4 linked regions of the Drosophila melanogaster genome follow. The protein of the gene in region 3 interacts with the protein of the main gene of each other region in a pairwise test. Each region holds a gene or a part of one and is shown on either strand. Other genes may lie near its edges. The genes, in order: CanB, Art4, modSP and CG17777.

What was found.
Region 1: the proteins of modSP (region 3) and CanB interact in a two-hybrid assay, tested with the Drosophila melanogaster proteins (one large-scale study listed by BioGRID).
Region 2: the proteins of modSP (region 3) and Art4 interact in a two-hybrid assay, tested with the Drosophila melanogaster proteins (one large-scale study listed by BioGRID).
Region 4: the proteins of modSP (region 3) and CG17777 interact in a two-hybrid assay, tested with the Drosophila melanogaster proteins (one large-scale study listed by BioGRID).

The regions. Positions count from the first base shown.
Region 1 is NC_004354.4:5,330,401-5,335,392, reverse strand, and holds CanB (calcineurin B), read right to left. Parts: upstream 2,895-4,992; 5' UTR 2,875-2,894; intron 2,652-2,874; exon of another isoform or gene 2,566-2,651; intron 2,341-2,565; 5' UTR 2,293-2,340; intron 2,024-2,292; 5' UTR 1,989-2,023; coding exon 1,476-1,988; 3' UTR 944-1,475; downstream 1-943. Other genes in the region: XRCC1, read right to left, coding at 3,206-3,324, 3,383-3,711, 3,774-3,862, 3,923-4,992. UniProt on the Drosophila melanogaster protein: Calcineurin is a calcium-binding and calmodulin-binding protein found in all cells from yeast to mammals, and a calcium-dependent, calmodulin-stimulated protein phosphatase.
Region 2 is NT_033777.3:9,981,787-9,987,901, reverse strand, and holds Art4 (arginine methyltransferase 4), read left to right. Parts: upstream 1-1,841; 5' UTR 1,842-2,222; coding exon 2,223-2,424; intron 2,425-2,486; coding exon 2,487-3,380; intron 3,381-3,434; coding exon 3,435-3,845; intron 3,846-3,903; coding exon 3,904-3,989; 3' UTR 3,990-5,086; downstream 5,087-6,115. Other genes in the region: Glut4EF (glucose transporter 4 enhancer factor), read right to left, coding at 114-1,005, 1,069-1,254, 5,532-5,623. UniProt on the Drosophila melanogaster protein: Methylates (mono- and asymmetric dimethylation) the guanidino nitrogens of arginyl residues in proteins. May methylate histone H3 at 'Arg-17' and activate transcription via chromatin remodeling. Coordinates ecdysone-mediated expression of cell death genes.
Region 3 is NT_033777.3:16,651,384-16,657,707, reverse strand, and holds modSP (modular serine protease), read left to right. Parts: upstream 1-2,045; 5' UTR 2,046-2,201; coding exon 2,202-2,268; intron 2,269-2,941; coding exon 2,942-3,245; intron 3,246-3,324; coding exon 3,325-3,806; intron 3,807-3,873; coding exon 3,874-4,177; intron 4,178-4,229; coding exon 4,230-4,451; intron 4,452-4,508; coding exon 4,509-5,016; 3' UTR 5,017-5,262; downstream 5,263-6,324.
Region 4 is NC_004354.4:2,184,703-2,188,633, forward strand, and holds CG17777 (uncharacterized protein), read left to right. Parts: upstream 1-2,152; 5' UTR 2,153-2,226; coding exon 2,227-2,238; intron 2,239-2,445; coding exon 2,446-2,766; 3' UTR 2,767-3,039; downstream 3,040-3,931. Other genes in the region: CG17776 (uncharacterized protein), read left to right, coding at 263-475; CG3457 (uncharacterized protein), read left to right, coding at 3,195-3,773.

The sequences.
Region 1 (4,992 bases), on a different chromosome or scaffold from region 3:
AAGGCTCTGTTACCGTACAAGTTCTACGCGGACCCAACAGCTAGTTGGCTGGCTTCCTGTTGTCCACACTGCGAGAAATTCTTGTTGAGTTCGGTACCAAAAATGTGGGAAATATATAAAATAGTATTCTGCGGCAGCAGGGATGATCTTCTCCAACTGATTTGTATTGAACAACATGGCGTATACGTAACATTTTTTTAAGTGTTTTATATCAACATGGATTATCATCTCTTAATGCTTTGCGATATTTATGTTCTATTTTAAATCCACAGGAAGGCTCCGCATTCGCAAATTTGTACTGAACAACGTGGCGTATACGTAATATTTATGTTTCATTAGTAGATAGATGTTTTATATCAATGGATAAACTTTTCCCACTCATTTGTGACATTTCTGCTCTATACTAAGGTAATTTTAATCTCAACATGGATGAACTTCTTCCACTGCTTTGTTCTAAACAACGTGGCGTATACGTAACATGTATGTTGGTGTGTCTTGTCACATGAGGGACGTCACACACACACACACGTGTAGTTGGAAAATCGGTGACCTACAAAACATTTAATCGTTGCCAACGGCCAAAAAGTTTTCGGTTACTTTCGGCCGGTGGCTTCCTTCCCACATTTTGTGGTGACCATCTTCTACGGGGTCGGCTTTCGGGAATCCGGAATTTCGGGCGCCGAGCTGAACGACACGCACGTGTTCTTCGTCCAAGGACTCGCGGACCGTGGAACTCTGAGGGCATCTGAACCCGCCGGCCAAAGAACCCAGCCCACATTCGTCCACCTCCCATCAACAGATAGTGGTAGTACAACGAAAAATCACCAAGTAAACGCTTGTTGGGGGTTTTGAGTTTAGCTTTGCGATAAACAGTGTTTAATTGTAGTTGTTGTTGTAGTTTTCTTTTGTCAATTTTTTTTTTTTTTTTTTTTTTGATTTTTTTACATATCTTATACACAACATTTAGTCGAGAGATGAACTTAAGTGTTAGGCTTGAATTGAACGTAGAGTTTAGGATATAGTACAAACTAGTTTAAGATGATGCGAACAATCCCAATCGTAGAGCTGTTCGAACCTCGAAAGTATGTCATTTCGAATGGAAGGAGGAATGGAAGGAGGGGTATAGATGAGTTCTTTGGTTGAGTGGTCCGTTGCCGGTGGTTTCAAGTATGAGTATAAGACACAATTCATTGCATTCTGTGGATGATAGAGATCGATCGGTTTGGATCGTTTGGAACAAAGTGTACTCTATATATATGCGATAGGTATCAATAAATTGAGTAAACTGCTTCGTTTTTGGCACGCCTCAAACGCCCTCACAGACTCACAGACAGACCGTTTATTATAAAGCTGAACATGTTTCAAGGGAAGTGAAGGTACACACACACACACACACACTCATTACGGAAAATCGGCTATACATATTGTATCATATCTACAATTGTATATATATAGTACTCATTATGTGGCTCAATCTAAACATCGACAACCATTTTCTTGTGAATATCGGTATTGCCCACCACCGAGCAGAATTCATCGAACGATATCTTGCCATCCTCGTCCTTGTCCGCAAAGCAAATGGTCTTGTCCACGATCTGCTGCAGCTGTGTGTCCTTCAGATTGTTGCCCACCATCATCTTGAGCACCTGGAAGAGTTCCCCGTTCGAGATGTAGCCATCATTGTCCATATCATAGATGCGGAAGGCGAATCGCAGCTTGGACAGCTTATCGCCGCGCACGCTAAACTGCGACACTCCCTGGATAAACTCCTTGAAGTCCACCTCCCCGTTTCCATCCGCATCGAAGATATCGATAACCCGCTGCACCAGCGGATTCTGCTGCAATTCCGGCAGCGACATGAACTCATCTATGCTCAGCGCACCCGAGTTGTCCAGATCCAGCTTGCGGAATCGCTTGCCCAGCCTACGGATCTCGTCCGCATCGAAGTTGGAACACATGTCCATGGGCAGGGAGGTCTCGTTACCCATGCTGGCCTTTGGTTACTTAGTTCTCTGGTCTAGATCTGCGAATGGAACGCAAGCGTTAGAAGGCAGGGCATTCTGCTCTACGGAGAAAAAGATGATTCCAAATGAATTTCGATAATAAAAAAAAATATATCATCAGAGAATTGAGGAACATTTGAGTTACCAATGAGAAAAATTAGAAGGATATTCGGTATGTGCAAAAACTGATGCATACTCCCAGGCTGCCCAATGTTCCACTTCTCACTGAATAGCTTCGAAATCATTTGGATTGCACTTTTTCTCAGCGTTTTCAGCACGACTTTCTTACCCAAAATTTTTGTTGTTAATAACTCAATTTTTCAACGACTGGCACGCTCTAAAAAAAAAAAGGGGGGGTGAAGTGCAAGTTAGCAGCATACTTTTAATTATGGCTCAATCGTATCGATTTTTCCAAATTCCACAACTTTTCACCACTCGTTTTCGCTTCAGCAAGGTTGGAGTGGAATCTCTGCAGTGGCACAAATCCGGATGGAACTGCGTTGGCCAGGATGCTTGGGTGAATCGCATTGCGAAAACGCAAGTGGTAGCCATAGATATTTACCATAAATAAACAATAGTTGCGCTGGATTGTTAAATTCCCAAAAAAAAAGCTCTCTACTCGCTCGACAGCAAATACACGACTGCAGGCGAGTGAGAGAGTTTTCACCGTTAGCTCTCGCCAACGAGTGGGAGAGCGCGGAGAGCGCAGCTGTCAAAAGCGGACAGCTGTTGCTTTTCCACCTGTTTTTTTTTTTGTTCTTTTCGGGGGCTGCAAATTGGTTTTCCACTTGTGCACTTTCGCTATCTTTTTAGTCTTTTTAATGCATAGTTTTGGGCGTAAACGGGTTTTCTTCGCTTAACCATAGCATGCCTATGGGTGGAAAGTCCTTGTAGTACCGTGCTATGCGTTAGTACATTTTTTGTGAATTTCTGCTAGAGATGGACCATCGCATTAGCCCAGAGGTGGTTTATTTGATAGTTTTTTTTAAATGAACATGCGATAGATCTATTATAATATCAATATTTATTCCTTGGGCTCTTTTTTCAAAATGGTCCAAACTAATCACTTATTTTGAATTTGTCGAATTTTTGATAACGAGCATATTCGATTAACAAAGTACAAAAATATGATACTTGCACATTACAAGCAATTTAAGTAATAAAGTCGTATACAAAATATGAGATGAGGTTAGAAATGGCACCTAATCGATTTGTTTCTTCTTTAGCTCCAGATAATCCTCTTCATCGGTACTAACTTCGTATATATCTTGCGATTTCGTCTTTACTGTAGTCCTTAGTTTGGCTTTCTTCGTTTTGTTTTCTAAAAGCAAACAATAAAATATCTAAAAAAAAACAGGGCAGAACAACAGAGAGTTTACCCTCAGCCACGCGCTGCAGTTCATCTTCCGTATCAATGCCCGATAAGGCATCTGGATTCATTTCCACATCATTCTGATCCGCTAGAGCTGTTAGCTTGCTATCCTCTAGCATTGCCACATCATCCTTGCTGGAATCGCGCCGTGGCCTCGTCGCCTCATCGCAAAGCTCCTCATCGCTCTCCGGCTGGCCAATGTCATTGGTATCCAGGGCGTAACGTCGCCATGGCAGGTACTTCTTCAGCTCATAACATTTCTCGATCCAACTGCGTGTCACAATCTTGCCCTTGCCCTTCACTTGATTGTATTTCGGTGTGTTTTTGAATGCGCATCTGTTTGGGTTTCATTTTAAGAATTAGCGGGCGCATACTAGATCAATCTGGACTTCACTTACATCAGATGGGTACATCCTGATCCCCAATCAGCCTTATACTTGGCTCCCAAGGCGACCGCTTTCGAACGCAAGTCTGCACGATCGGGATTCTGAAAGCAGAAGGGATGGGTTTAAATCGAGTTGTGATGCAATCAAAAGAATTTCCTTGCCTGTATGCCACTGATGACCAGGACCACACCCTTGAGTAACTGATTAAGGGGACGGTATTGAATCGCTGTGTCCACGATCTTTTGCTTTTTGGCGGGCGTTACTGCGACTGCGGTGGGAGATGAATGTCGCTTTTGCGCAGTTGGGCGCGAACTTTCCTTGGAATTCGAGGTGTCCGAAGATCTGTGATCATGCTTAGATTTCTCCTTCCTCCTGGACTTCTCCTCCTTCGAATGCGATCTTTCCTCTTTTCGTAATTGCTCTTTCTCTTCTTTGGCTGTGGATTTTTCTCTGGAGGACGAATTGTGCTCCTTTGCCGGTGGTTTGTCTTCTTTGCTGATTGACTTATCCAAGGAGTGCCTGCTTGACTTTTTCTTTCTGCTCTCCCTCTCCTTTTCCTGCTCCAATCGCCGTCGATCCTTGTCCGCCTCCAGATGCTTGCTCAGCCGTTGTTTCTTTGCATTGACCTCAGCGTCCTTCACGTCCTCATCATCGTCGCCGAACAAGAGTGAAGCTCGATTGCGATCCAGGGGCTTGGCATCCAATGGCGTCGGAGAAACCGATCGCAGAGCATTGAGAACTGGTGATGGCGACGTCGAGGTTTTGGGCGATGCAGCCAGGCTAGAAACCTTGCCAGCGCTCAGCCTTCGCAGGGCCGTGGAGCCGGCGTCCCGAATGGCCGCTGCTGTGGAGGTCGCACTGATCGCGGGCGACTTGTGCTGCGTCTGCTTCTTCCAGCTGTGAAATCTGTTCACTTGATTGTCCGTTTCCGAGTCCGGCGACTCCTCGCGCAGCTTAAAGGTCCCGAATTGCATAACACCCTGCGGCACTAGGGATTTGACCTTAGGCGCCGCAGCAGCCACTACATGCACCTTGACGAATGAGAGCCCGTATGGCACATGACGATTGAAGGGCTGTGTGCAGACTATCTGAAGCAGCTTCCACTTCTCCGGCAGTGCACTCTCCGCCAGCGAAGTGCTACTGAAACAGCGAACGCGATTTGGATTGCTGGAATTCTTGCTCTCGATGGGCGTCATAAACGAACTGGATAGCAGCAGCTCGCGGAAATCGT
Region 2 (6,115 bases), 6.7 Mb from region 3:
GTTGCTGTTGCTGATGCTGATGATGATAATGCTGCTGATGATGCTGCTGTTGCTGCCTTGGACTGGTGCGCCGACGCCTGGTTTGCCGCCTCCGTCGACGACTTCTGTCGCTTTCAGTCGCCGAAGCGACTGCACGCCTTCTTCCACCGGCACTGGGTGCACCACTGGTCGCGTTTCTCCATGCCGTACACCTTGCGGCACTTTTTGTTCTCGCCACGCGTCCTCTTGCCGGGCGAATGGGGCGTATGCTTGACGGCTACCTGTTGCGCCATGTGCTGTTGCTGCTGCAGCGGATTGCTTCCGTTGCTGTGGTTGTTACTGTTGTTTTGGGCAACCATGTTGCCGGCAGTTGTCTGTGGATGCTGCTGCTGGTGGCCGCGCATCGGTTGGTGGTGGTGCTGCTGCTGCGCCGGATGGAAATTGGGCGTGATCGTCACACTGGACAGGAGATGTTGCTGCTGCTGTTGGTGGCTGTGTTGCTGCTGCTGCTGGTGGTGTTGCTGCTGCTGCAGTTGCTGCTGCTGCTGGCTGTGGTGCGCCGTCACTGTGACGTTCTGCTGCGACAGCTGCTGCAGCATGTTGTTGGCACTGCTATTGCTGTGGATCACTGGACTGCTGCTGCTGCTGCTGTTGCTGCTGCCGCTGCTGCCGGCGTAATTGTGGTGGTGCGTGTGTTGGTGGTGCTGCTGTTGCTGGACGTACGTCGGCGATGGATATGGCGCTACCGAGTGGGTCGGACGGGAGGACGACGAGCGAGCGTGCTTGCCGATCGGCGAGGCTGATGAACTGGCCGCCACCGACCCCGTCCCCGTGGAGGAGTAGCTGCCCACTGTCGCCGTCGCCGCCGGGCATGTGTAGTTGTGGTGGGCTAGGTGCGAAGTGGGGATGCAGCTGGTGTTGTTGTTCTGCAGCTGCTGCTGGTGGGTGCTCGGGATGTTGCTGCCACTGATGGTGCGTCCGTGCGACTGCGCTAGATGGTTATAGTGGCTACCGCCGCGTCCTTGCCTGGAAAATCGAAAAAGGATAATGTCATTAAATGTATCTATATCGTGCACCAAGAGAACCCACTTGAAGTTGCCAACAATCTGCTTCTGGTACTCGGGATCCTCGTGCGGCGGACGCGCCATGTCCCGGTGACTCAGAGTCGGCTCGGAGGCCAGAGTGGGCTTCACCTGCTCGACGTCGTCGTCGGCATCCTCGAGGTAGAAGTCCTCCTCATTTCCGTCATCATCCGCGGAGCGATGGGAGTCCTTTCTGCAATGCCACCGAAAAATAGCGAAATTGATTAGAAGGATGTGTCAGTGATGGCAAGTTTGCTTCAGTTATGTACCTAGGTTCGGTATTACTTCAAATCAGATTGATAGCTTTTAAATTAACGAACTTAAGTTGTCTAACGTTGTTTATTCGATTTAATTCAATTCAAACAAATAGGAAAAATATTTTAAAATGAATGCTAAAAATTGCTGTTAAACTTTGGTCAATATTTATTAAGGTACCTCATTTAGGTACCTACTCTCCATTTCAAGCGACCGCTTTTTTGTACTAGCGTTGCCAACTAGCCGACCACCCACATTAGGTTCGAGGCCCTGCTAGAAGTGTTCCAGAGTTCTGAACCTTGATTCTATCCACTTAAAAAACTATATTATTTCTTTTTACATTTCTTTTCCCCGCACTATTTTTTTTCAATTATATTTCAAAATGAAATTGAGATTGATGCAAGCTTCCTTGCATACAATTCTTTTGTAAATCTCACTAGACTGAAAAATCGCTTAGTCTTAAGGTAGTGCGCGGTAATAATCCTATCGAAAAGCATCGGACTTGGTCCCACCTCTAGCCTCAACTATTTGTTCCAGCTCTAGCACTTTTTGCAAAAAAGAACGCATGTTCCGTGTGAAATCAATACGAAATCAACAAGAGCGATCGATTTTGAGTAATCGTCCGAGTTGAAAAGCAGCGCACTATATAGTTCCCAGCGCCAATTAATCCAGCTGCCCGAGTCACCAGCCATTTTGTGTGTGGTGGAAAATTTTGCAGATAGAAAAAATTGCGCGTCTGTCTGTCTGCATCTGCGTATCTGTGTGTGTGCGTGTGCTAGAGTGTTTGTGTGTGTGCGTGCGTGCGTGTGTATAGCGAGGTCTACATTGTCAATTAACAAGGGAAAAAAGACGCTTGTGGTCCTGCTTTGTTCCTTTGCCTCTTTACCCTCCAAAAAGCCAGCCAACATGTCCAGCCTGCGACCCGAGGAGGCCCGAAAACTGGCCACCGCCGCCTCCGTTTCGCCGCTGAGCAATTGCCAATTTTGCGGCGTGGTAATCAGCTCGATTGCCGACGAGCAGAAGCTAGAGTTTACCAACAAATACAAGGGAAGCTGCACGCTGCTCTGCAGCTACGATTCCCAGGGTGTCGTCCTCCGTGTTGTGTCAGGTAAAAGAGGACATCGAATGTTTCATAAAACCCGTTCCTTATATCGCCAATCTCTCCACCAGACGACGACCGGAGCCACGTGCTCAAGGAGTACATGATAGCCGCCGATACGGATGCCGCCCAAATGGGACGAAGGAGTTATGCCGTTTCCCTGGACGCCGACAATCTAGTGCTGAGGTTTGCCAGCGAGCAGGACCAGCAGCTCTTCCGCAAAGTGGTGGAGAACGTGAAGCACTTGAGACCCAAGTCCGTGTTCTCGCAGCGCACTGAGGAGTCGTCCGCCTCGCAGTACTTCCAGTTCTACGGCTACCTCAGTCAGCAGCAGAACATGATGCAGGACTATGTAAGGACAAGCACGTATCAGCGGGCCATTCTAGGCAATGCTGTGGATTTTCAGGACAAGATCGTCCTGGATGTGGGCGCCGGCTCGGGCATTCTCTCCTTCTTTGCCGTGCAGGCGGGAGCTGCCAAAGTGTACGCCATTGAGGCTTCCAACATGGCCCAGTACGCCCAGCAGCTGGTTGAGTCCAACAATGTGCAGCATAAGATCTCTGTGATACCGGGGAAGATCGAGGAGATCGAGCTGCCCGAGAAAGTGGACGTTATCATATCAGAGCCTATGGGCTATATGCTGTACAACGAGCGCATGTTGGAGACCTATCTGCATGCCAGAAAGTGGCTCAAGCCGCAAGGAAAGATGTACCCCACGCACGGCGACTTGCACATAGCACCCTTTTCGGACGAATCGCTCTACTCGGAACAATATAACAAGGCCAACTTCTGGTACCAGTCGGCGTTCCACGGCGTTGACCTTACCACGCTGCACAAAGAGGGCATGAAGGAGTACTTCCGACAGCCCATTGTGGACACCTTCGACATCCGCATATGCATGGCCAAGTCGGTGCGGCACGTGTGCGACTTTCTCAACGATAAGGAGGACGATCTGCATTTGATAAGTAAGTACCCGAAAAAGTGATTTGCGACAATGGCCAACTGTTGACTTTCCGCAGGCATCCCCCTGGAGTTTCACATTCTGCAAACTGGCATCTGCCATGGGCTGGCCTTTTGGTTTGATGTGGAGTTTAGCGGCAGCAGCCAGAATGTGTGGCTCTCAACGTCGCCCACAGCGCCTCTGACACATTGGTATCAGGTTCGCTGCCTTCTGCCCATGCCCATCTTTATTAAGCAGGGCCAGACGCTGACCGGCCGTGTCTTACTGGAGGCCAATCGGCGGCAGTCGTATGACGTGACCATCGACCTACACATCGAAGGCACGCTGATTTCGTCGAGCAACACCCTGGACCTTAAGAATCCGTATTTTCGGTACACGGGGGCCCCGGTCCAGGCACCGCCGGGGACTAGTACCCAAAGTCCATCTGAGCAGTACTGGACACAAGTGGACACGCAAGGATCACGCAATTGTAAGAACAAATCCTTGATATAATAATCTCATTGCTTATGTGATTATAATTTCTATAGCTTCAAGCATGCTAAATGGAGGGATCAGCGTGAACGGAATAGGCGAAGGCATGGACATCACTCATGGACTTATGCATCCGCACTAGGGGGGCGGTGGATCGAATAACAATACATCTTTCTGGGAATTCCCTTTGCTCTAAGTCCGCTCACTTTCTACGCTTGATCCTAATTTTGCCAATTTTTGTTTTGTTACAGTTTATGATTAGGTTATTTATTGAAAAGTGTAAAATATTTTTATCTATTTTCGAAAGTTAGTTCTGTTCTGTTTTGCATACCTTTTAACAACCTCTTTCCCTATCGTGCTATACTTATCCTCCCTTCTCTTACCCATTTAATCGATCGGACAAATCGAAGGAAATCCAGCATCCCAGCAAGTAACCAACATACAAACAATCAACAAATCAAGGCAGACTAATGTAGTTGTTTAGAACACGCAGCATATTAATAAGCCTAAGCTAATTTAAGCCCATAGTAATTAGAGTTTTTAACGTATGTGAATTGTAATACCGATATTTAGCCCGCACGGGACTGCGCTTCAGGAAGTTTATTAGTTAATATGCCGATTGCCAATTGCAGATTTTGCCGTAAGCTTTGAACAAACCAACAAATTCAGATTGTACTGTATCTATTATGTGTGTTATTATACTATATATTGTGTGTACCTCCAGCTAGTTTCAATTTTTGTACTTGTCGACCGTGTTTATGTTTAGTTCGTTTCAAAATGTAAGAAATTGCTCATAGGATTTAGTGCTAAGCTACGATATCATTACTAAAGGCCGACCTGGGTCGAGAGATTATACTTATACCCCCAATACGATTATGATTAATTCAGTTCAGTGGAGGCACACCTCGTTCGATCCTAAGTTACGCATCCAAGCCCAGATCCTGTCATAGACCCAACTATATCGCTGCCAGCAAGCCGAGCGCTATATAAGCATATACACCTAGATATACGCGTTAGGTACGCCAACCTATACACACCCCGACATTCTCGCATTCGTATCCTGTTTGCGGACTGTACTTTATAGAGCAGCAAGTAGAAACACAAAAACACTACAACACCCAATACACTGCAAACATAAATATAAAGCAAAACATATACAATTATATATATATATATATATATACGAATAGATATACCGCATGTATGCAGATGAGAGAACAATGTCAAAGCAAAAGCAGCAAAAAACAAAGCCCCACCGCGTCTTTTATTTGTGCACCCCCACTTGGAACCCCTCTCGATTTACATAGGAAACGAGATTGGCAAGTGTCAAAGCTCAGCGCGGATCGTGTGTGGGCGCTTTGAATTGGACCTTGGCCTCAAAAGCGCCACCACCACTGCACCTGCCACCCACTGCTGCTATTGCTGGCCTGCTGCTGCAGGTGCGCATTGCAAAGTAATCTGCGTGCTGGAGAGGGGCTACGCCGCACTCGTGTGACCTGCTTACTGTGCTCGAGTGCTCTACTTTCGAGGCACCACCAACACCACCTTCAGCACCCGCTCCGGGCGTGTGGAAGTGCTGGCGGGGAAGGAACGAGAAGGTCGGGTGGCTAAGTCAAGGCCCCGCCCACTTGCTGCTCGCCACCTAATCCTCTGATAGCAGTGCCATTCCCACTTGTACACTTACCCCAAATGTGTTTTCCTAATGTGACGCACGACTCCATTGAGATCGTCTACCACGCCAACACATCCTCGATAGACGCATCGGAACTTTTTGGACTGCAATGACAAGAGAAGGTGATTCTGATTAGATTGATTACATATTACATATTATTAGTTTGCTCTTGAATATAAATATTAATTAAATATATCCTTTAATATCTAGCGTACTTGGCGGGAATACGGCTGCATCACTGAATCCTCGGAGGAAGACGTGGAGGAGCGCGAGCAACTATCCCCCGTGGGACTGTGGCGACCGTAGCCCTCGTAGTCACTGCGCTCCACGTAGTAATTCATTGCCATAGTGTGCATGATGGTGGTTCTGCAGCAGCTCTCCAACTGGCGGCTCTTTAGCGGTTGCAGTCGCAGCTGTGGAGCAGTAGCAGGAACAGGAGCGATTCGAACCGGTGCCGGCCCGGTGCCAAGTGCGACTGTGTGAGTGCGGACAATGCAACTGGCTGGCTGGCTGGCTGCTTGGCTGAAAGCCAGATTCGAAGTCCTTGGACTCCCGAGCGGCAAACGATGCCGCCCGAACGAGCTGGCTGCCTGGCT
Region 3 (6,324 bases):
CCAGTGTAATTAGAGCCTGAGTTGTTTGAGAGAGTCTTCGCGGGCTACCCGCTTGCATGCGAAATTGCTTTTGATCTCGTTTTGAGCCGTTAATTGATCGTGAGTTGTACGCTCTATAGAGATACCCATACCGATTAGCTATAACGATACCATACCGATACCAATACCATATATATAGTTTAGTGGATCCAACGAGCTGTGCTCGACTCAAGCCACAAGGCGCTCCGTGTGTGTGTCCCGATAATTGATCCTTCAGTTGAGTTTCCATGGTGGTCCCAGTTGGGGCCGTTCGTAACGAGGTCCTGCAGAAGATGTATACGTACTACCGCCTAAGATTCGATTATAGATATATTATATTTATAAATCTTGATATATATTTATGTACTTATGTATGTGGGGATCGAGTCGAAATGGACAAACAATAAGAGAGTAATTCTGCGGAACGGAACGAAGGCAGATGCAAATACGTAAATAAGAATAAGTTAAATGTTATAGATTTTAAACGCATATGCGTGGATCGAATGGGATGTCCCCGCCACCGCAAACCAAGAATAGACGCTAAAATACAATACATAAATATTTAAACGTGGATTATCGTAGCAACAGATATACGTAAAAGGAAGACGATTCGGTGAGGTCTTGCATACAGTACTGCATCCGACCACTTACCTACTACTTACTTACCAGTGCATTCGTAGTAAATAGTTAAATAATCGCTACTTACTTGTACATTTGCTAGTGGCTTTTACTTTAAACTCTCTGACCCTCGGCCGAGCAGGCCTATCCATAAGAGACTACTACTTTTCCTATATACCTACTTCATCCGATCAGATCAGACCTACAGATACTTTGCGGTTACATTTTCTACTTGTAATTTCCCCTCCCCGCGATCGAAGATTGGACCCGCAGGCTCCGTTCATACTTAATCGATGTAACTCTAATTTAATGCCATTCTATGTTAGCTCCGTAAGTTGTAAATTATCAATATAAACTACACGTAAAAAGAACAAACACAAAACAAACAGCAACCAGTGAGAATGTGGAAAATGAAACAAATAAATTAAACAAAACGATTTAAATAATTTAAAAGATGCCTTTGGATTATTAATGTGAAATAGTTGGTTTCGGAATTGTAGGTAATTCGAAAGGATAGTTTTGCGGTACTCTTAAAATAGCAGTCCTTCGTTCTACATTTTTAATAGCAATATTCTCCATTTGGCGCCATACTTTCTTGGCTTAGGAAGTATCTTGTTCCAAGAAAGCCAATAAAACGTTAAGTTTTTCTTGCCGTGCTATCCAGGAATAAAATTTTCAGTGGAAATTCAAACCATACAAATGTAAAGGTATATTTTACACACGTGTAATGTAGACTTCGTAGTTTCTACATCTTACGCTATGCGTAGAACGGATGGAAATGAATATCGATCTGAAAAAGATTACGGGGAAGCCAATCCTTATTTCGAAGATCTGGCAGCACTAGCGTCAAAAAATTTAATTTCCAAAAAAATTGAGAATTTAAAAAAAACGTAAAATTTTTTTTTGGTGTTTATAAGATTGTCATTTTTATTTAAGCGTTTTTATTAATTGAATAAATTTTTACGACTGACTTTTTATGTAAAAAATGATATCGGTACATTTCGAAAACTACTTCTTTAAAAATAAAAGAAATTGATTTTTCAATTAATTTCCTTAAATTCTTTCAAAAGAATTTAGCTAAACGCCCACTTTTAGCGCGGACTCAAACCATTGAGAGAAAAGTCTCCAAAATGAATTTGGTAAAAGTTTAATACACGAGAGAATGCTATAGTCGACTTCCCCGACAATCAGATACCCAATACTCAACTAGTGGAAGTGCGAACACGAAATTTCATATTTTATTTTTCTGCGATATCGATAGATATTGATGAATGAAATGAGATATAAATACTACACTCACTCGACTTATATTATGAACTGCAGCTCTAAGCACTCCAATCGATACTGATGAGGTGCTCTTAAAACGTGTTTTCAGATTGGTATGAGATTCGGCTTGAACACATTGGAGCTCAGTTCGCTTTGTAAGCTCGGTCGGAGTCGTTCTTAGCTCGGCGGCAAGTGCTTTCCAGACGACTTTAATCAGCACGCACTTGTTTTAGGCATACCTATGTGATTGCCTTGTGCACCTGGATCGAGTGCATAACAGTGCATCAGAAATAAGGATTATGCAACTAATATCGTTTTTATCAAATCCATTGTTCTTCTGCGCGCTTTTATTGAAATTCAGAACAAGTGAGTAAAGTTCAAAATGATAATACAAATGGAACGAAAATAAACACTTTCTGTACATATGTACATATGTAAATGCGTTGTTCTCGAAGAGAGATTCTCAGAACACGATTTGAGCCGGTTCATCTTGAAATCGCGATCTGTTTATCTCTGTCGATTTTCAGTTTGTTTATTACACTCCAGGGTGCTGACTAAGTGTGAAGGGAGAGAGAATGTTTACGGAAATAAATAATAAAAAACGCGGTAATTTAGTTAAGCTGCGGTAGTTTTAACAGGCAGCTTAACCCACTCAAATGCTAAGAAAAATAGCTATACAACATTACACAATCGCAATAATCAAATGAGGAAAAAAATAAAATAAAATAAAGAATATTAAAAGCGCAATAGGGATTATCAATTTTTCTGCCGATTTGCATAAATTGTAAATGTAGGGAGAAAAGTTACTAAGTTACTTAACGTAAGTTTTCATTAAACTTAAATTTAAAGTGTAGTTTATATATTAAGTATATATGAGTAACAAATCTCTTACTCTTAAAAAATTTAAGAACCAAAAGTAAAAGTGCTCTAAATGAATGAAACTTGATTCCAATATATGTGGTTTCGCAATCAGAACAATTAAGTAAAGGAACACGCGATTGTCCTTATAATATAATAATCGAAAGGATCATTTTTGAAGTATTTGCGGCATGTGACAGCTCACAGTTTGAGTGCGACAACGGCAGCTGCATTTCGCAGTACGATGTCTGCAATGGCGAGAAGAACTGCCCGGATGGATCCGATGAGACGGCGTTGACCTGTGTCTCCCAGCGGCAGCACTGCACCAAGCCCTATTTCCAGTGCACCTATGGAGCATGTGTGATCGGGACAGCTGGGTGCAATGGAGTCAATGAGTGCGCAGATGGTTCCGATGAGACCAGGTTGAGATGCGGCAACGAGGACGATATACGGCAGCACGACCGACGGCTTCAAGGCAATTGCAAGTGAGTACTGAAATGTAGAATGTAGATAACAGGATGAGGACTAGGAATGGATACATTAATTGCTTCTCTTCCCCTTTAGGGAAAATGAGTTCAAATGCCCATCCGGAATTTGCCTGGACAAGAGCAACTTTCTGTGCGACGGCAAGGACGACTGTGCGGATGGAACGGGCTTTGACGAGTCGGTGGAACTGTGCGGCCACATGGAGTGTCCAGCGTACTCCTTCAAGTGCGGAACAGGTGGCTGCATCTCGGGGTCATTGTCATGCAATGGGGAAAACGACTGCTATGACGGATCCGATGAGGCACCACTGCTATGCAACACCACCAAAAAGGTGACCACACCCGTGGTGACTGAGACTCCGCTGGAGCTGCTCGGATGCCCCTTGCCACTTGGCGACGAAAGGCCCATCCTGACGGGTGACGGCAGCCGCGTCCTCACTGGACCCATCACCCGGGGAACAGTGCGATTCTCCTGCAAGCAGGGATATGTGCTGGAGGGAGAGGAGAGCAGCTACTGCGCCAAGAACAAGTGGAGTACTTCCACAATCCCGAAATGCGTGAGTGAGTGACTGTGTTTTGCCCGTTCCCTGGTAATAATTTCTCACATGTACTCCTTGCTTTTCCGTAGAATACTGCAGCACTGCCGGAGAATTCGATGGCTACTCCACGAAGGCCTTGTGCACCCACAATGGACAGCAAGTGGAATGCCGCAAACCATTCCATCCGCCCGGCACCGAAGTGAAGTTTGTCTGCTCCACCGGATTCAAGACCCTGAGCCCACTGCCAGAAATGCGGTGCATGAAGGGAGGATACTGGAACCGCGGACGCCAGCGATGCGAGCAGGACTGCGGCCAGCTAGCCACGCCCATAAAACAGTTCTCGTCCGGCGGCTATACGATCAACAACACGGTTGTGCCCTGGCATGTGGGACTGTAAGTCTGCTAACTATCCATCCCGATGATTTCATTGATATTCCCTGTGTAGATATGTGTGGCACAACGAGAAGGACTACCACTTTCAGTGCGGAGGATCGCTACTCACCCCGGACCTAGTCATAACCGCCGCACATTGCGTATACGACGAGGGTACTCGACTGCCCTACAGCTACGACACCTTCCGGGTGATTGCGGCCAAGTTCTATCGCAATTACGGAGAAACTACTCCGGAAGAAAAGCGACGGGATGTGAGGCTCATAGAAATAGCACCGTAAGTAAAAAGAAACTGGCTCCTTCATGTTTCTTAGCACTGGTTTATTACCTGCAGTGGCTACAAAGGAAGGACGGAAAACTATTACCAGGATCTGGCCCTTCTGACCCTCGACGAGCCCTTCGAGCTGAGCCACGTAATCCGGCCCATTTGCGTTACCTTCGCCAGCTTTGCAGAGAAGGAGAGCGTCACGGATGATGTGCAGGGCAAGTTCGCTGGCTGGAACATCGAGAACAAGCACGAACTCCAGTTTGTGCCGGCCGTGTCCAAGTCGAATTCCGTGTGCCGTCGGAATCTGCGGGACATCCAGGCGGACAAGTTCTGCATCTTCACGCAGGGCAAGTCGCTCGCCTGCCAGGGTGACAGTGGCGGTGGATTCACCTCCGAGCTGCCGACCAACGCCTTCTCCACCTGGAACACCGCCCGTCACTTCCTCTTCGGGGTGATCAGCAATGCACCCAATGCAGATCAGTGTGCCCACAGCCTGACCGTGATGACCAACATCCAGCACTTCGAGGATATGATCCTGAATGCGATGAACAGGAGCGTGGAAACTAGGTCCTGAGTCCGGGCACTTATTGTGATTACAATAGATTTATTTTAAGAGATTTTATTTAAGTCGTCAAACCTATTTTCTATCGAAACATTGCGAAGGGTGAATCTCAAAGGGCAATTGTGTATTAGGTTATTTCAAGTCAGTTCTTTGTAAAGGACAATTGCCAATTGCCACACTAAGCTATTTACCCTCTAATCCTCAACATTATGTTTATTGATACTTCATAAATTTTGAAATACCAAATTATTGAGCAATACCGGTTAAGTGAAATTTGATTCAAATTTTGACCGGCTAACAAAAATCGAACTTAATTCCTATCGATAAGTCGGAAACTCAAGCCCACCACTGCAATCGTATTTAATCAACTATTATGACTAATCAGCTGATTATGAGTCAACCGCACCGCAATTTCATTTGGTTGGCCAATTGAATGATGTAAACATGTCTGCACATTACTGCGGCTACAACCCGCCGCCGCCGAACTTCAAAACCTTTTTTCCCGAAAAATACAAGGACCGACTGCAGCGACTTCCCAATTTTGGAAAATTGCGATCATCGTGGGAGATCCACAGGCGACCGACCCTCGTGGTTCTTCATGTGTTTGCGGATGATATCGGTGCGCTAGACAAATGGATAGATGTGGTATACCGACTAGCTGCCCCTGGGTTTCTTGGCGGCGAGATGGACTTTTTCGTGGACGATCTGTGGCAGTCGTTCATCTTCAATGAGGATGACTTCAGCTTCTCTCGGAGTGACGAAGGATGTACAGTGGACTCATTTCCCCTGATATACGCCGCAAATTCAACTGGAAAGGTATTCTTCTTTGGGGATTTCACTGGGCCTAAACTGCCCGACCTGGAGAGTCTAAGGGATTTCTGCGATCAGGTGATTAAGGGGATAGCCGAGGAGCCCACTGCTAGAGATCCCAAGGTTGAGAATATAAGCCTTGATAGCTGGAACGAACTTATGTACGCCAGTGATAATGATATAGCGATTTGCTTCTACAACTCCTTGCAAAATGGCGCTGAAGTCAATAGTAGTCTTATGGCAAATCTGGATTGGCTGGCCGATAAACTGAAACAGGAGTCAGTGCTTCTGTACAAGATGGATATACATGGATCTAGAATCCCAAAAAGTTCCTCGTAGAGTCGCCACCCGACTTCTTCTTCCTCCAGGCAAACCAAAAGCATAATCCCTTGCGGTGCAAATATCAGCTGAACATGTGGACAATGCTGAGATTTGTAGCCGAAAATTCTAGCAAGGAGCTTAGCTACTATAACCGTCGTGGAAATCGAAAACTCCATGCTGATTTGTTAA
Region 4 (3,931 bases), on a different chromosome or scaffold from region 3:
TTCCAGCTAGAGTAGCTAAAAGTGAGATTAACGATAAAACGACGTTAAACGAGTGAGACTCAAAGCTAAATGGGACATTTGGAACGATTTCCTAAAATTCACTTAAAAATATAGTACTCATTCGACTGTCTTCATCTTTATTTTGGCTAGTAAATGTACGCCCAATTATCGATACATTCGCCGCCGTCATCACTGACAGACCAGCTGAGGCGACGGACTCGACTGCCGGAAACTTTTATGGACTTGGAAGGGATTTGCCGCCATGCAGAAGAAGCCGATTAACACCAACACGCTGCTGGACAAGCTGCACCGCGGCGCGGTGTATGCCTGCATTGGAGTCACCCTGTACGGCACCTACATCCTGGGAATGCGCTACTACCACTACTGCACGGTCATCCGACCGGAGAAGCAGCAGGCGGAGCTGAAGCTCCTGGACGAGGGAGCCCACGACAAGGCCAAGGAACTGAAGTACTAGGCGCGCCCTCCTCCGCCCCTTTAATTGTTAAATGTCTGTTAAGCGCAATAAACTGTAAGGAAATGTAAGCATTTTCAGCTGAAAACGGCCAACGCCGGTTGTTGTTGTGTAACCTCGGACAGCTGGCCAAAGTGGAGGACCGTCGGCAGGCCCGGTGGGATTGTAAGATTCCAGATTCAAGATCTAACCCTGGAACCAAGCCAACAATGCGCAATTAGCCGTCTGGGCCGTAAATCAAACTGGTCGGCTACAATGGGAAATCAATCAATCGACAGCGACATGGACATCGACCCGTTCGGCGGACTAGACTTAGTCAAGAATTATAATTTAGCTGGCAATCAAATATGTTGTCATCTCCGGATCGTGACCAGGTCCCAGTCCATAGACCAAACCCCTTGGCTGCTTGGTCTTCCGCTTGCCCAACGCGTCTCGCGTGCATTCACCTCCAATGGGCAGAGCATAAATATTAAACGATGTGGATACGAAAACAACCGCGGGGAGAAGGAGACAATGGCGGTGCCACCCACTTTTGGCCAGAGATGGCGAGACGTCGTCGATTGGGAAAATCTTTTGCATGCTTCATTCAACAATGTTGCCTCCGGCGTTGCTTCATTCATGACTTGGGAACTCGGAGCAGCAAAAGCAACAGCCGCAGCAGACTGCAATTGCGATTTGCAATTGCCACTGCGGTCAAGGTCGTCCTTTATTGTGTGGGCACGGCACTGGGTACTGGGTAGCAAGTACCCCCGGCAGACGGAAGTGATCGAGAATAATGGAACGCGCAGAACAGAGTCGTCTGCCCAAATGGCTATCAAATTGTTTTAAAACTTTAGTATATTAAGCAAAAGCTGTGCTCCTCTGAATAGAAGATCTCTTCAACCTAGTTTCAAGCCCATTAAAACTAATGACCATTGACCTGGTCACCGATCCTTGTCCCAATATACCCCTTAAGCCAGAGGTCTCCGTCAAAGTCGTGCACTTTGGATATTCTGTCGATAAGACTTTGCATTGGAAATGATCTGGCAGAGATCTCAGCTGTCTGGCAGCTTAATTAAAATGCCAAAACGCTGCCAAACGTGCAATTGTTTGTAATTTGTGTATAATGCTGGCGCGCATATGCGATTCCCACGGGGCCAGTGGCATCCCAGCATTTGGCCAGCTTCTGAACGAGCTTAGGTAATAGTGCGCCTTTTGGGCGCTGCTGGCCATCCGATCTGGCAGTGAAAGTGTTACACGATATGCATACCGTGTACGAGAGGGGCACTTGGTGATTGTGGAACGCGTCGAGTGTCTCGTGTTGCACGTTGCTTGTGGATCGCGTTGCTGCCCCACTTCGGTTACCCAACGAGCCTGGGATCTTAGAATTTCGACTACGCTGGCAATTATAACCGATATCGTTAGTTTCCACGCCCACTCCACCTCACTCCCCCCACTGCAATCCTCCGCCAAGTTCTCCTCCGCCGGATGAGCGGATGGATGACCTTTTGGCTCCGCAGCATAAACAATATTCGGTTTCAAGTCCTCAACCCGTCATGCATTCAATTCAGCTGCAACAATCGCTGCTGCTGCTGCTGCTGCCGCCGTTATTGTCAGTTTGCATAATTGCAACTGTAGCAGCAACTGGCAACAATAAGCCAAGCCGGGTGACTATAAAAGCGTCGGGCCACTGGCAGCCATCAACAAACCTCGCCTGGCGCCCTACCCATCAAGTCAACCAGCCAACAGCCACTAGCAACATCTGCAGCAGCAACATGAAGTTCTTGGTAAGCAGCAACACCAGGACATTAGGATACCAGGATACCAGGACACCGGTCAAGCAAACGAGTGGACTTTTTTTTGAGTGACAGTTTATCCAACAAAATACAAGTTATTTAAAATTGCTGGAAGTGCTCTGGCTACAATTTGAAACAAATCATTTGTTAACATCGTTTCAAATGTTTCATATACCGAACCTTTTTTTCTCTGTGCAGTGCGTGTTCGTCATCCTGGCCATTTGCTTCATGAGCACCTGGGCAGCAGTTTCGGAGCCTGCTCCTGAAGCTCTGGAGCCGGAGCCATCCGCCGTGGATGAGAAGAAGACGGAGAAGAGAGGCATCTACGGGTTCGGCCACGGCTATGGCGGCTACGGCGGATACGGCGGATACGGTGCCTATGGACACGGTCACTACGGCGGCTACGGTGGACTGAGCAGTCCCTACTACGGCGGCTACGGATACGTCCATGCGGCGCCCTACTACGGCGGACACCACGGCTACTATCCGTACCACCATGGCCACTACGGCTTCTACTAGGACCACTACCTATCCCCAAGATCGTAATGCATACTGTTTTTTTTTTCTCGATCGCTCCATGCTCATCACTGCACCATCATTCGTATATGTATATGTACTGGTTTTCCCCCATCATTCACCGCAATATAAATGTACTGCAAATAGCGAATACATTACTCGCATGTCTTTGAATTTGGGTTGGATGTAGTACAAATATGATATATGTACATATGTAAACAAAGTTAAATCCTACTCAACAATAAAGAATCGATTACATTGCATATGTATGACAGTAAAAGTGATTTTCGGTCACTCTATGGGGGCCAGTGAAGGTATAAAGCCGCTATTGGCCCAGTGACTGTTATACAAAAGTCACTGTTCTAATTGCGATCGGCGCGTGACCACCAGTCTTTCGGATCATCAGCAAAAATCAGGAATTCGACTTCGAGATGCTGAAGCGCGATCTGCAGAAAATCACACTCAAGCTGTCCGATCTCAAGGACTATGAGGTTGCCCGCCAAAAGAACAAGTTAAAGGGCGCCCCGCGACCTAGGCTTTCTCAGGACGCCCTCCCCGGAGACGACGCCTCCACTTCGGGAACAACGGCAAGTTGCAGTTCCAACACGGAAACGGCCACGGAAACCGCATCGGGATCCGGATCAGGGTCTGGATCGGGCTCGGGTTCTGGGTCCGGGTCGTACATTACGGGAATGGGCTACCGTTCGGAGACACCCTCCTCCGCATCGTACACCACGTCGACGACCCCGACTCCGGCCACTCAGGAGGAGATACTGAGACCCTCGTCCGCCGTCACGGCCACCACAACCACTGGCACCACTAATTCCGGCTCCACGGATGACGTGAGCGTGGCGGCCGTAGTGGATGACACGGATACCATTGACGAAATCAGCGATGACAACTGGGTGGACCTGAATGCGGACACCAACGATACCGTTGATACCCAGCCGGAGGAGCAGGACCAACTGCAAGAGGTGGAGGAGGAGGATGGGGCTAGGGGAGGAGTGTAATCCTGACCGCTTATCGCGTTATGAAAACATAGCGCAGCTGCACTCAAAGCCCACCCCCCCCCCCCCCATTTCACATTCCATTTATCATAACAATTTGTATACGTAAACAAGTATAATAACCCATTGCATGCTCCACTTACCTAGCTGCTAATAATAAT